3 linked regions of the Caenorhabditis elegans genome follow. The protein of the gene in region 2 purifies or fractionates together with the protein of the main gene of each other region. This does not show direct contact. Each region holds a gene or a part of one and is shown on either strand. Other genes may lie near its edges. The genes, in order: suox-1, F41G3.6 and trx-4.

Region 1 (3,756 bases), on a different chromosome or scaffold from region 2:
CACCAATGTTGACAGCTGGGGAGAATGCTCTGAAATTGGATGGTTTGTAGGTTCTGGAGATTTATTACTAACCTATAATCTTTTTGCTGCCAATGACTATCACTTTCCTTCTCACTAACAATAATTTTTCTGAGCCATTTCACTTGTCGAGCACCAACATTACCTGAATGACTTCTTTTATTAACGATTATCAGAAAAAATTTTTTAAATAAAAGTATGTTAAAACCGTTGTACCTGGCACAATGACCCGCAGAGGAGCTCCGTGATCCCTCGGAATATCAACTCCATTCATGTGATAAGCGACAATGACTTCATCTCCACGAGCCTTTTCAATGGGAATTGATGCTCCGTAGGGTGTTCCAGTCGGATCAACATCTGCTCCTTCAAAGTGGACGTGCTTGATCTTGTCGTCGAAAACGTCGATTCCTGCGTCAGCGAGAAGATCCTTGAATTTTATTAATTAATATCTCATATTTTAAAATTCAAATTTACTCTCAAGCGAACTCCAGTCCATTCGGCATTACTGATTGCAGTTCCTTCCCACATCAGTCCTTGAACTTTCTTATACTGATTCATATCGGCTCTTCTATTTCCAGCACATTGAATCACACTTCCAATTGTATATGACTTGTACTTCTTCTTGAGCTCCTCTACAGACAAATCCACTGTTTTTCCTTTGATGGTTTCCACAGTCAATCGATGGTTTTCAGTTTTGATCTAAAAAAAAATCCAGCGTAAAACTTCACTACACACACAACCCCTTTTCACATACATCAGGAACCGGAAGATGATTTCGTACAAAGAACAGTTCATTGGGTGTGTAGAAGTGGTCGGTAAGCAGGGAAGGAGGGGTTTCGGCATTGAAGGGCTTCGAGTTACGCACGAGTAAAGCTGGATGACGTTCCGGATCATTGGAGAATGCGTCAGCGACTGGCTGTAAAACAAACACAAACATAGGTGAGATAAGAGGATAAATTGATCAATATTTTGGGTGCGTTTGTACCCGGACCCTAATTAAAATCAACCAAACTCACATTACTTAAATCTTCAAAATCAATCTAAACAAAAAAATTTGTTACCAGAATTTCATAAATCACACAATAAAGGATTGTATGCCACCTCTTTTCTACTCCATGAACTTACTTTCGGAACATCTTTTACATCAAGTTTGCCAATTCGATATCCTTCGAGAATCTCGAGAACCTCTTTTGTCTTGTGCTGTGAGTAGAGAGCCCAAAATGGGTCGACAGCTGCACCGGCGGCAAGCAGAATTTTGTCACCTCCCGGATGCATGGCAATGAAATCTGTGACATCATAGACACCCTGTAAAAATAAGAAAACTATTAATTCCAGTTTATAAACAAGCATCAATTTGGAAATACGCATATATGTAGTTTGAAATGTTCTAAGCGTTCGAAAAAAGTCCTTAAAAACCTGTAACCAAGTCACAAAACTACATTTTGTCCAGTCAGCCAAAACTGGACAGTTGAATAATTGAAATTAGGGCTCCCATGTGGGTGCCGCTTTCACGCCGCAATTCAAATTTTCAAAGCGATGCGCGGAACCCACAAAATGTCGGACGCGGAGTTTGCACCAAACAGTGGCATAGAGTATGACACTATTTGTAGCAAAGTTGACTCCACGTCCGACGCTTTTTGGGTTCCGCGCATCGCTATAAAGGTTTCGGATTGTGGCGTGAGAGGGGTGTTTTCGGGGACGACATAAGAGTCCTAATTGAAAATAATCAACTTACATCTTTGTACGTAACCCAAATCCTGTCTGCGTCTTTTCCATGTTTCTTGACCTCCTCCTGCTTGTATATCTGAAGATTCTCCAATTTCTTCTCTGACATCGTCTCATCTTTGGCGTGATCAAGCTTTGCAGTTTTCACAAAGTGTTTGAATCCGAGCACTCCAGCAGTTGCGGCTCCTCCAATATATGCATACTTGTCTAAACATTAGTTAATAGATTTTCAAGTTTTCGTGGTAGATCCCTACAATAAGAGTGATTTTCATTAGTCCTCTGATGTTCTGAAGTGGCGCCCGAAAGTTTGTTGAACTGACGCCGGTGTCTAAAAAACCGATTGAAAGATGTGCCCCGGCCAAGCATTCTGAAAAAATTTGCAAAATCTTTGAAACTTATTAGTTTAAAATATCAAGATTGCCGAAAAACAAACAATACTTTGAAAAATAAAATATCTTTTTTAGAAATTGAATTTTGAAAAAAAATTGAAACAAAAAAAACTACGAAGTTCACAAACACATTGAAAAGTGGACTGAATCAGGGGGGAAAAAGAAAGCAAAACCCGACTAGTTTTATTAAACAATTATTCGAATATGAGGAATTTTTGGTGAATGAGGGTACAATAAAAACATGCTAATAAAACCGATTTCTATAAAACAATAACTGAATTATTTGGTATTTTTACAGTTCTAATCAATTGAAGTTTGAGGGAAGAACGAAAAATGGAATATCAGAAAAAAAAAACGTCACGTGGCAGAAACTGAGAAGAGGAACAGTGAGAGAGAGCAGAGGTCGTAGAGAAAACGAGAGAGAGAGACAGGTTTCGTCGCCTTTGCTGACCATTGACCAGCGGTCATTGATTGCAAGTTACGATGGGTGGTTGAACATTTGAGAAACAACAAGTTGTCGTTGTTCTCTACCTCTCTACCACTCTAATATTTAATAGTTAATGGTTGGGAAACAATCCAATTTCATTTTTCATCCAGAGAACTCTGAAATAATTTGGGCGAACGCAGCGTGAGCAACATCTGGTGAAGAGATGAAGCAGACTCGTTTGGCGTCTCCAACAATATTTGTGATGTTCTCTTGAAGCTGCTTGTTGATATTGACAAACAAGGCTCGAACGTTCTGGAAAAAATAAGTTTTCAAGAAATTTATCTGATGTGTTTAGCATTTTAGCATTATTTCAAATACAAGTTTAATTTAATAAGAGAAATGTTTACTAGCGTGTCTACGAGGTTATTCCAGCTCACGCGGCTCACGTGGAGTCAGGCTCTCCCATCACAATTTTATCTACTAAAAAGTGCGGGATTTTTTTTTGCCAAAAAATGTGACGTCATCATGTTCTAAACAATGTAAAATCAGAGTTGAGAACTCTGCGTCTTAAAACCCGCGTTTTTCGTAGATCTAAGTAGATCAAACCGAATTGGGACATTATGACACCACGTGCAAGCTATTAAGAAGCTATCAGTTCATGAAAATGCCTACTTCGCAAAAATAGCGATAGCACAGAGAACATGCGATGACCAGTGGTTTAGGTGCCTTCGCAACGAGATATTCCCGCGCCAAAACGGTAGGCATTCTCGCGATCTTATGATTTCTTAATATGTATGATGTTGTCCACTGTTGTTTTATTGATAGCGAAAAATATTCAAAAGTATGCTAATAGTGGTTCAATTGACATACTATCTCAATTCAAAATCTTACCTCTGGATTCTCGTCTGCTGCTTTTTTCAACATCGGAACATCACTCGCGGTGTCCCCTGCGACACAAACTTTTCCAACCTTCAACGAGTCGTGGAGTGATTCCACTAAAGCAGCAACTCCATCTCCCTTGTTCCAAACAGCTCCTGTAATTCGAAAATCATCATCATAAATTTCAAAATTGAGCATTACCTGACGAATGAACGCATACTTCAATTTCTAACGGTGAACAATTTTCTAATACTAAATATTGACTGTTGGGATCAACTCGATGGATTCGTTCACGAACTGCATCAATGTATCTAGCTG
Region 2 (3,756 bases):
CTCAGAGAATTGGCAGAAAATCGAAGGGGTTAAACGAACAAACTTGCTCCCATATCTTCAAAATCTTCGAGCCAACGGATACACAGTGATCGCAGCTGAACAGACGACTGATAGTGTGATGATGCATGATTTTGTATTCCCAAAGAAGGTATTAAGCTGTATTTTAAGAAAAACGAATAAATAATGTTTTATTTTCAGGCTGTGATTGTTATGGGCGATGAAAAAGAAGGAGTTCCGGTGAATCTACTACGCGCAGTTGATCAAACTGTGGAAATCAAACAAGTTGGGCATACTCGAAGTTTGAATGTGCACGTCACGGCGGCGCTTATGATTGCTAAATTTGCCGAACAAGTCAGATTTGATAAAAATTAAATAAACTTCCCTTGTTAAAGTTGTTGTTTTTGTTGTTAACTTTCTTTTTTGCTCGTTCTTGAACAATAAAATTAATAATAATTAGATGGTGTGTTGAATAAAAATAAAAAGCGTTGAGTTTTCACCATATATTTCTCCAAGAAAAAAGAAACTCTTATTTTTTGCCGTTCTACGATCGGAGATTTTGTGGATTCAATTCTCCGGTGTCTGCGAAAATTGTTGCGAGGTCTCCCAAGCAAACTCGCCCTAGTGCACACCTAACTTTATTTCTTATAAAGAATTTGTTTTTTGCAGCGCGTTGATTTTGCCGGTAAAATAAGAAGAATTGGCTAATCAACAATGTCATCAGAAGTACTTCGAGGCATTGATCCACGTGGATACTTTGCAACTTTTATCAAAGAAGGAGTCTATCCTGACGGACGTGGTCTTCTTGATGAACAAAAACTTGTTTTTAAGGTAATTTTTCTCACGATTCAATTCTATGTAAACTTTTCAATTTTTCAGCAAGGAGAATGTGGCGGTGTTGGTTCATCTGTCGTCAGTACCCAAGGAGTGACTGTTTCGTGTTCAATTCAAGCTTCAGTTTCACTCGTTAGTGATGCACCCCTGGTGGATATCAAAATTGAAGGTTCTCAGCAGCTATCAGAGGTTAGCTACTGAACATTTATTTACTTGTATTCATATAAATTATAGAAAGACGCAGAGGACTGCAACAGTGTCTTGCTTTCGTTATTCACAAATAATTGTTTCGTTCGACGCGAAAATTTGCGATGTTTGGATGTCTGTGGCAAACCTTTGCCTCTGGAATGGCAACTTCATATCATTGTTAAAGTGCTCAGTCTCGAGGGAAACTTTTTGGATGCAGCTGTGGTATTTACAAAAGATTTTGTTTTTTTAAACATAATTTTAAAATTTTTCAGTGCGCTCTCGGTGCCGCTCTTGTAGATGCAAAGCTCCCGTCGATTGTATTAAACCATTCCGAGGGCGACGAATCGACAATTGAAAAAACACAAATTCAAGCAGATTACCGAACAATGCATCGATTGACGCTCGAAGAACCTTTGATGTGCTGTTCATTCGGTATTTTCGTTGACGTTAATTCAGACAAAAAGTCTGAAGTTCTCCTCTTGTCTCCAACATTAGAAGCAATATCAGTGTGTCGAGCAACTTGTTCTGTAATTGTTGGAAAAGATGATCACATGGTTATGGTTCGTGAACGAGGACAGTTTTCTTCTTTCTCCCTTTTAAAGGTATTTTATTGTTATGTAGTTTTACGATCACTAACTTAATTCATATTCAGAAAATGTGTCAAATTACCGCCGAACGCCGACACAAATTCGTGGAGTCTCTTCAAAACGTTGTTTGATTATTTAATTTTGTTGCTCGTTTAAATATGTTTTCTGTTATAAATTGTTGTTTCTCGATCGATTTTCATATTGTTTGGATCCACCAATTCGTTCGATCGAATCGTATCTCATTTTTTGGCATTTTTTTCAAATTTTAATTCTCCATTTCAGATCGAAATGCGATACTTTGGAACTTTCAATAGAAACAGTGCGTTTGATATGAAGTTTTTAGATTCAAAGTTTTTTTATTGCAGAGGGACTCTTCACAGAGAGCAGGGACATCATGGTTTATCAACAAGCTCGAGACGAAGAACACAAGAAGAGAAAAGAAGCAAATCTCGAACTTGATTCCGATAGTCACGTCGGAATGTGGCTTCTCTGTCACCCGGATAATGATCTTGCAATTGGTAATATTATTTCATTGAAATTAAGTTAAAAAATACATTCTCAGCTATGTACACAACGATGGTTCGACTTGCCGGAGAGCTGTCTCTAGAAGTGACACATGATGATATTATTGCCTGGCTCGGAACAGCAATTCGGTGCCATCCATCACAACTGGTCCCACGAGGAGAGGCGGTTTCCATTCGCGACAAGTAAGAATAATTTAAGTATAAACTTCGCAGTTTCTAAGTTACAGACCCACTCTCCCAACTGATCCTCGAGGTGGCGACTGGAACACAGGTGTCGGAATCACACAGACCTGTCTTTTGCTACGATATCTCTCACAATGCTCCCTGGACCAACTTTCAATCGATGAGAGAGCCAATGTCCTGTTTGGTAATATTGTTTTATCACTTGTAGATTTCCAAAATCAAAACTAATTTCAGCTATTCTTCGCGTCTTCAGTGATTCTGACGAAGTCGCCGCATCTCCAGATGCCCAGAAATTTGTTCGTCGTATCTATTCGTCGGGATCACGTTATGATTTAATCGATGCTCTCGCTGCAATTTTCTTCCAACTTTCAAGTAAGATATAATGTTAAGAATTCATCATTAAAGTTTTTGTATTTTCGCTCCAGACGACATTGCAACAATGGCGGACGCTGTTCGCACGCTGTGGAGCATCACAGAGGATGAGCCACTTGTAATGAGACTGACAGTTGAAATTCTGATGTGTTTATGCCAGAGATCTGAAGTTGTCGCTAATCTTCCAGAGTTTAAGGTATATTATAACTTAAATTCTTGATCAACAATAATATTTTTTGTAGCTGGGCGATCAAATGTACTGCAAGCAAGTGAAAATGATCATTCTCGATTTGACGTCTGACGCGCACGAACAAGTTCCAGAATTGCACCAGAAAGATGAGCTCAGCAATTTGGTCAATGAGGTGTTCAATCTTAAAAGATAGGGCACTAATTTCATATTATTTATGTACTTATTTCTCCCATCCGGCTTTCAATCATTTCGTGTGCTATATTTTGAACGGTATCCTTTTCATCCATTCACTCATAATCCCATGACTATTTTGCCAGTTATCATTGCGCATTTTACTGCTATTGCCAATTTGAAATAAATTTCTGTGAAAAGTTCTGAATTCTGAGTGGGCTAGCCAATGTTAATGAAAGAATGGGAAAATGTTATGAAACAATGTTTTTATTCAACATGGCAAAGTAGAAAAGAAACTATTTGTGTCCTGTTCAAATTTCTGAAAATTAAACCTGAATAATTCTGTTTCTCCTTCCTTGTTAACTTACGAAAATCACACCAAGAAAAGATCTGTTTGTCCGTACAACCAGTGGAACAACAATCCAGAGCTCTTAGTATTTCTGTTTGAATAGCTCCACCATTACACAGAAATGCAACTCGTCGGCTCAACGATTCCCCACATGACTGAAATTATTCATTTACAAAAATGCAACTTATTCAGAATGACTCACACGATAGGAATGATGTTTATTGTCACGAGGTTGGAAGTCATTTCCAGAATATGATTCTGATATGACTGCCAAAAGAGCAAAAACCACAATGAGAGGAAGAAGCTTCATTATCTGAAAATTAATTTACATTTGTTTTTGGGCAAGAAAAGAAATGTAAA
Region 3 (3,263 bases), on a different chromosome or scaffold from region 2:
AAAAAATTGCAAAAAATTTGGAATTTTGTTTTTAAAAATATTAAAAAGTACTTTTTAAAATTCCTAGAGAAATTCCTAAAAAAAAATAAATATTTCTCCAAAAAAAAAATGCAAAAAAAAAGAAAATATATTAACATTTTTTAAAAAGTTAAAACTTCTTAAAATCTAATTTTACAACTAAATAATTCATAAATTCAATGCAAAAAAAAACTCGAAAAATGAGAAAAATACAATAAAAATGAAAATAATTCAGTAAAAAATCTTTTTTTAATTCCAAATGAAAATTTTTTTCAAGTATTTTTTCGAATTTCCGGAAATTTTCCGTTTCGGCAAATTGCCGGAAATTCTCAAATCCGGCAATTTGCCGATTTACCGGAAGTTGACAATTCCGGCAATTAGTCGAGTTGCCGGAAATTTTCAACTCCGGTAATTTGCCGATTTGCCGGAAGTTGTCAATTCCGGCAATTTTGCCGATTTGCCGGAAGTCGAAAATTTTCTGTTTTGGCAAATTGCCGGAAATTTTCAATTCCGGCAATTTATCTATATGCCGGAGATTCTCAAATCCGGGAATTAGTCGATTTGCCGAAAATTTTCAATTCCGGCAAATTGCCAAAAATTACAAAAATCGTCCATCTTCCAGATTCCACTTCCTCCACCTCTGCAATCAGAAAATTGGCATCTCCAGATAGTCAAAAATCGCCAAATCTTCCGCCATCAGACTATGTCAGCCGTGCCGAATACGATGCCCTTCTCGATAGATTCCGTGCTCTGGAATCACGAGTTCTCGCCATTGAAAAGATTCGATTCTAGCCATTTTCCTCATTCATCCAATTATTCGTGTAAATTGTGCCCCCCATCTCTTCTCTCTCTTCCCCATTCACCCAGTGCAATATAGATTCTCGAAGCATATAAAGAGAGAGTATCAAATTGTCCTGTGATCCTTTGTTTTTTTTTTTGGAAATTCTCATTCAACCCACACCCCCGATTCGTTTGTATTGATTCACTTATCATTGCTCCAAATATTATACAATTTTTGCGATTTTTTGTGCTAAAATTACAGTACCACGGAGTCTCGACGCGACAAATTTTTGTTTCAAATTTTGCCAGAAATGCTAGAAAACAGCCCCAAAATATCAAATTCACTTGTAAAATTTTTAGAATTTTTCTAAATTTTTAATGTTTATTTTTGCAATTTTAAGGCAAAAATTCGAATTATTTTTAAATCCCCTTGCAAACAAATTTGAATGGGTTTTCTTCATATTTTCTCGGATATTTGATTTGAAACACAATTTTTCGAATTTTCAGACGTTTTTTCGGCTTAAAAGTCGATTTTTTCCGAAAAAAAGGTCTGAAATTTTGTGTTTCAAATCAAAAAATTCGGGGAATTCAAAAATAATTTGGTAATTGAAAATTGCGTCGTAAAATTGATTGTGAGAAAAAAATCTAGAAAAATTGTAAATATAAATTCTTCAAAAATTACACTTTTTTTCGAGTCGCTGCATCATGTTTAAAGGCGCACATCCTCTTGAAAAAATTTGTCGCGTCGAGACCAAGTATTTCACATCCGCTTCATTTTCTCGCTTTTTCTTTTTTTTCACACATTGTTGCTCAAAACGGCGTTCTTCTCTTCCCCCACTCCTCTCCCCCACATTTGGCCAGTCAGCAGGACCTAAAGATGTATCTCTTGGTCACCCGTTTTTAAAAATTTTTTATAATGGTTTATTGTTTCTTTATTTCATTTCTTCTCGGCCACACACACACATACTATAAATGTTATTGTGATTTTTATTTTTATTATTATGTGTTGATTAACGTAAATTTTATTCAAATTTTTGCAATGTTTTTCAATTAATTGAACTTCTACATTAACCGTTAATGTTTTCTTGCGGTGAATTTTAAATATTTCTAAATTCTGAAACCAAACCGAATATTTTTTAATACTAACTGTTAAATTGTAGTCTCTAATAGTATAGAGTTTCCGGGAATTATTACGCGAACGCTAAAATTCTGCGAATGCGTATTGAGCAAAAGACGAATTTAAAATTAAAAAATTCCAAATTATTTTTTTTTTATTTCAGATAACCGAAATGTCTATCGCAATCAAGGACGATGACGAATTCAAGACAATTTTTGCCGAGAAGAAAACCCAGCCAGTGATTCTATTTTTCACGGCTTCATGGTAGGTTGGATTTATGCACATGGCTGAGAATTTTCTTAATCGAAATTTCTAGGCCACGACTATTTGAAGCCTTTCATCAGGATAGTTTGGATTTCGAAACTTGAGTTTTTGATAGAAACGTAAATTCTAAAAAATGCCTTTTACAGTTTCAAATTAAAACTTTCATGAAATTAAATTCTCAAAATACACGATTCCAGGTGCGGTCCGTGCCAAATGATCAAGCCACGTGTGGAGGAGCTGGCCGCCGAGCACAAGGATCGCCTATCGATCCTTAAAATTGATGTGGACGAGTGTGACGGTGTCGGTGAAGAATATGAGATCAACTCGATGCCCACCTTCCTTCTGATTGTCGACGGAATCAAGAAGGATCAGTTCAGTGGAGCGAACAATACAAAGTTCGAGGAAATGGTCAAGGCAGCTCTTCAATGATTTTCACACTTTTAAACATCTTACATTATATTTTCTCTGAAGATTAAGAGTTCTGAACGAATAAACAGTATTATTTGAATTATTTATTTTTTGAAAACATGTATTATTACGTCATTGATGTTTTCGGCCTGAACTCCGAAAAGGTATGACTGGCGGACCCACGACATCCGGTTGACATTGCAGTCGACTGACTTTGAGCTTTTCGCATTTTTTTTTCAAAAAGGAATTTTCTTCGTATATATCTCTTAAATATCGAGAATTGTTTTTTTTCTCACAAAATCGGTTAAATATTGAATTGTGCCCAAGCTCATCCCAATTTTCAAAAGAGAACTGCCGTTACCTCAAAGGCGCATACAGAAGCAAGTAAAGTTATGAAAGAAATCCAGCAAACATATTGGGTCTCGCCGCGCGAAATGTATTTTTTAATTTTTTGGAATTGTCGAGTTTTCTTTTTCTTTTAATAGGTATTTGTTGGTTATTTCATATTACGGAAACGGAAAACTCTGAGAATGCGTCTTTCTTTTCAACATATGCTTTTGACGAGCAAAATATTTCGAAGCGAAAACTACAGTAATTCTTTAAATGACTACTGTAGCACTTGTGTCGATTTACGGAAATGAATTTATTTTTGAATTGTGGCAGCGATATTCAATTT

Evidence for each region.
Region 1: the proteins of F41G3.6 (region 2) and suox-1 fractionate together in Caenorhabditis elegans (co-fractionation; one large-scale study listed by BioGRID). This does not show direct contact.
Region 3: the proteins of F41G3.6 (region 2) and trx-4 fractionate together in Caenorhabditis elegans (co-fractionation; one large-scale study listed by BioGRID). This does not show direct contact.

What each region holds. Positions count from the first base shown.
Region 1 is NC_003284.9:15,495,909-15,499,664, reverse strand, and holds the start of suox-1 (sulfite oxidase), read right to left. Parts: upstream 2,111-3,756; 5' UTR 2,110-2,110; coding exon 1,998-2,109; intron 1,951-1,997; coding exon 1,754-1,950; intron 1,324-1,753; coding exon 1,144-1,323; intron 1,059-1,143; coding exon of another isoform or gene 1,011-1,058; exon of another isoform or gene 935-1,010; coding exon 773-934; intron 718-772; coding exon 493-717; intron 446-492; coding exon 235-445; intron 164-234; coding exon 73-163; intron 30-72; coding exon 1-29. Other genes in the region: gob-1 (Trehalose-phosphatase), read right to left, coding at 2,722-2,871, 3,451-3,593, 3,640-3,756.
Region 2 is NC_003280.10:6,741,025-6,744,780, forward strand, and holds F41G3.6 (DUF2013 domain-containing protein), read left to right. Parts: upstream 1-1,889; 5' UTR 1,890-1,895; coding exon 1,896-1,926; intron 1,927-1,972; coding exon 1,973-2,125; intron 2,126-2,169; coding exon 2,170-2,314; intron 2,315-2,358; coding exon 2,359-2,498; intron 2,499-2,548; coding exon 2,549-2,686; intron 2,687-2,739; coding exon 2,740-2,882; intron 2,883-2,928; coding exon 2,929-3,069; 3' UTR 3,070-3,243; downstream 3,244-3,756. Other genes in the region: T14B4.1 (tRNA/rRNA methyltransferase SpoU type domain-containing protein), read left to right, coding at 1-148, 199-372; exos-8 (Ribosomal RNA-processing protein 43), read left to right, coding at 712-828, 877-1,020, 1,066-1,242, 1,293-1,622, 1,673-1,738; ins-15 (INSulin related), read right to left, coding at 3,315-3,551, 3,599-3,706.
Region 3 is NC_003279.8:3,317,400-3,320,662, reverse strand, and holds trx-4 (Thioredoxin), read left to right. Parts: upstream 1-2,078; 5' UTR 2,079-2,087; coding exon 2,088-2,179; intron 2,180-2,376; coding exon 2,377-2,608; 3' UTR 2,609-2,685; downstream 2,686-3,263. Other genes in the region: cdap-2 (SH3 domain-containing protein), read left to right, coding at 641-810.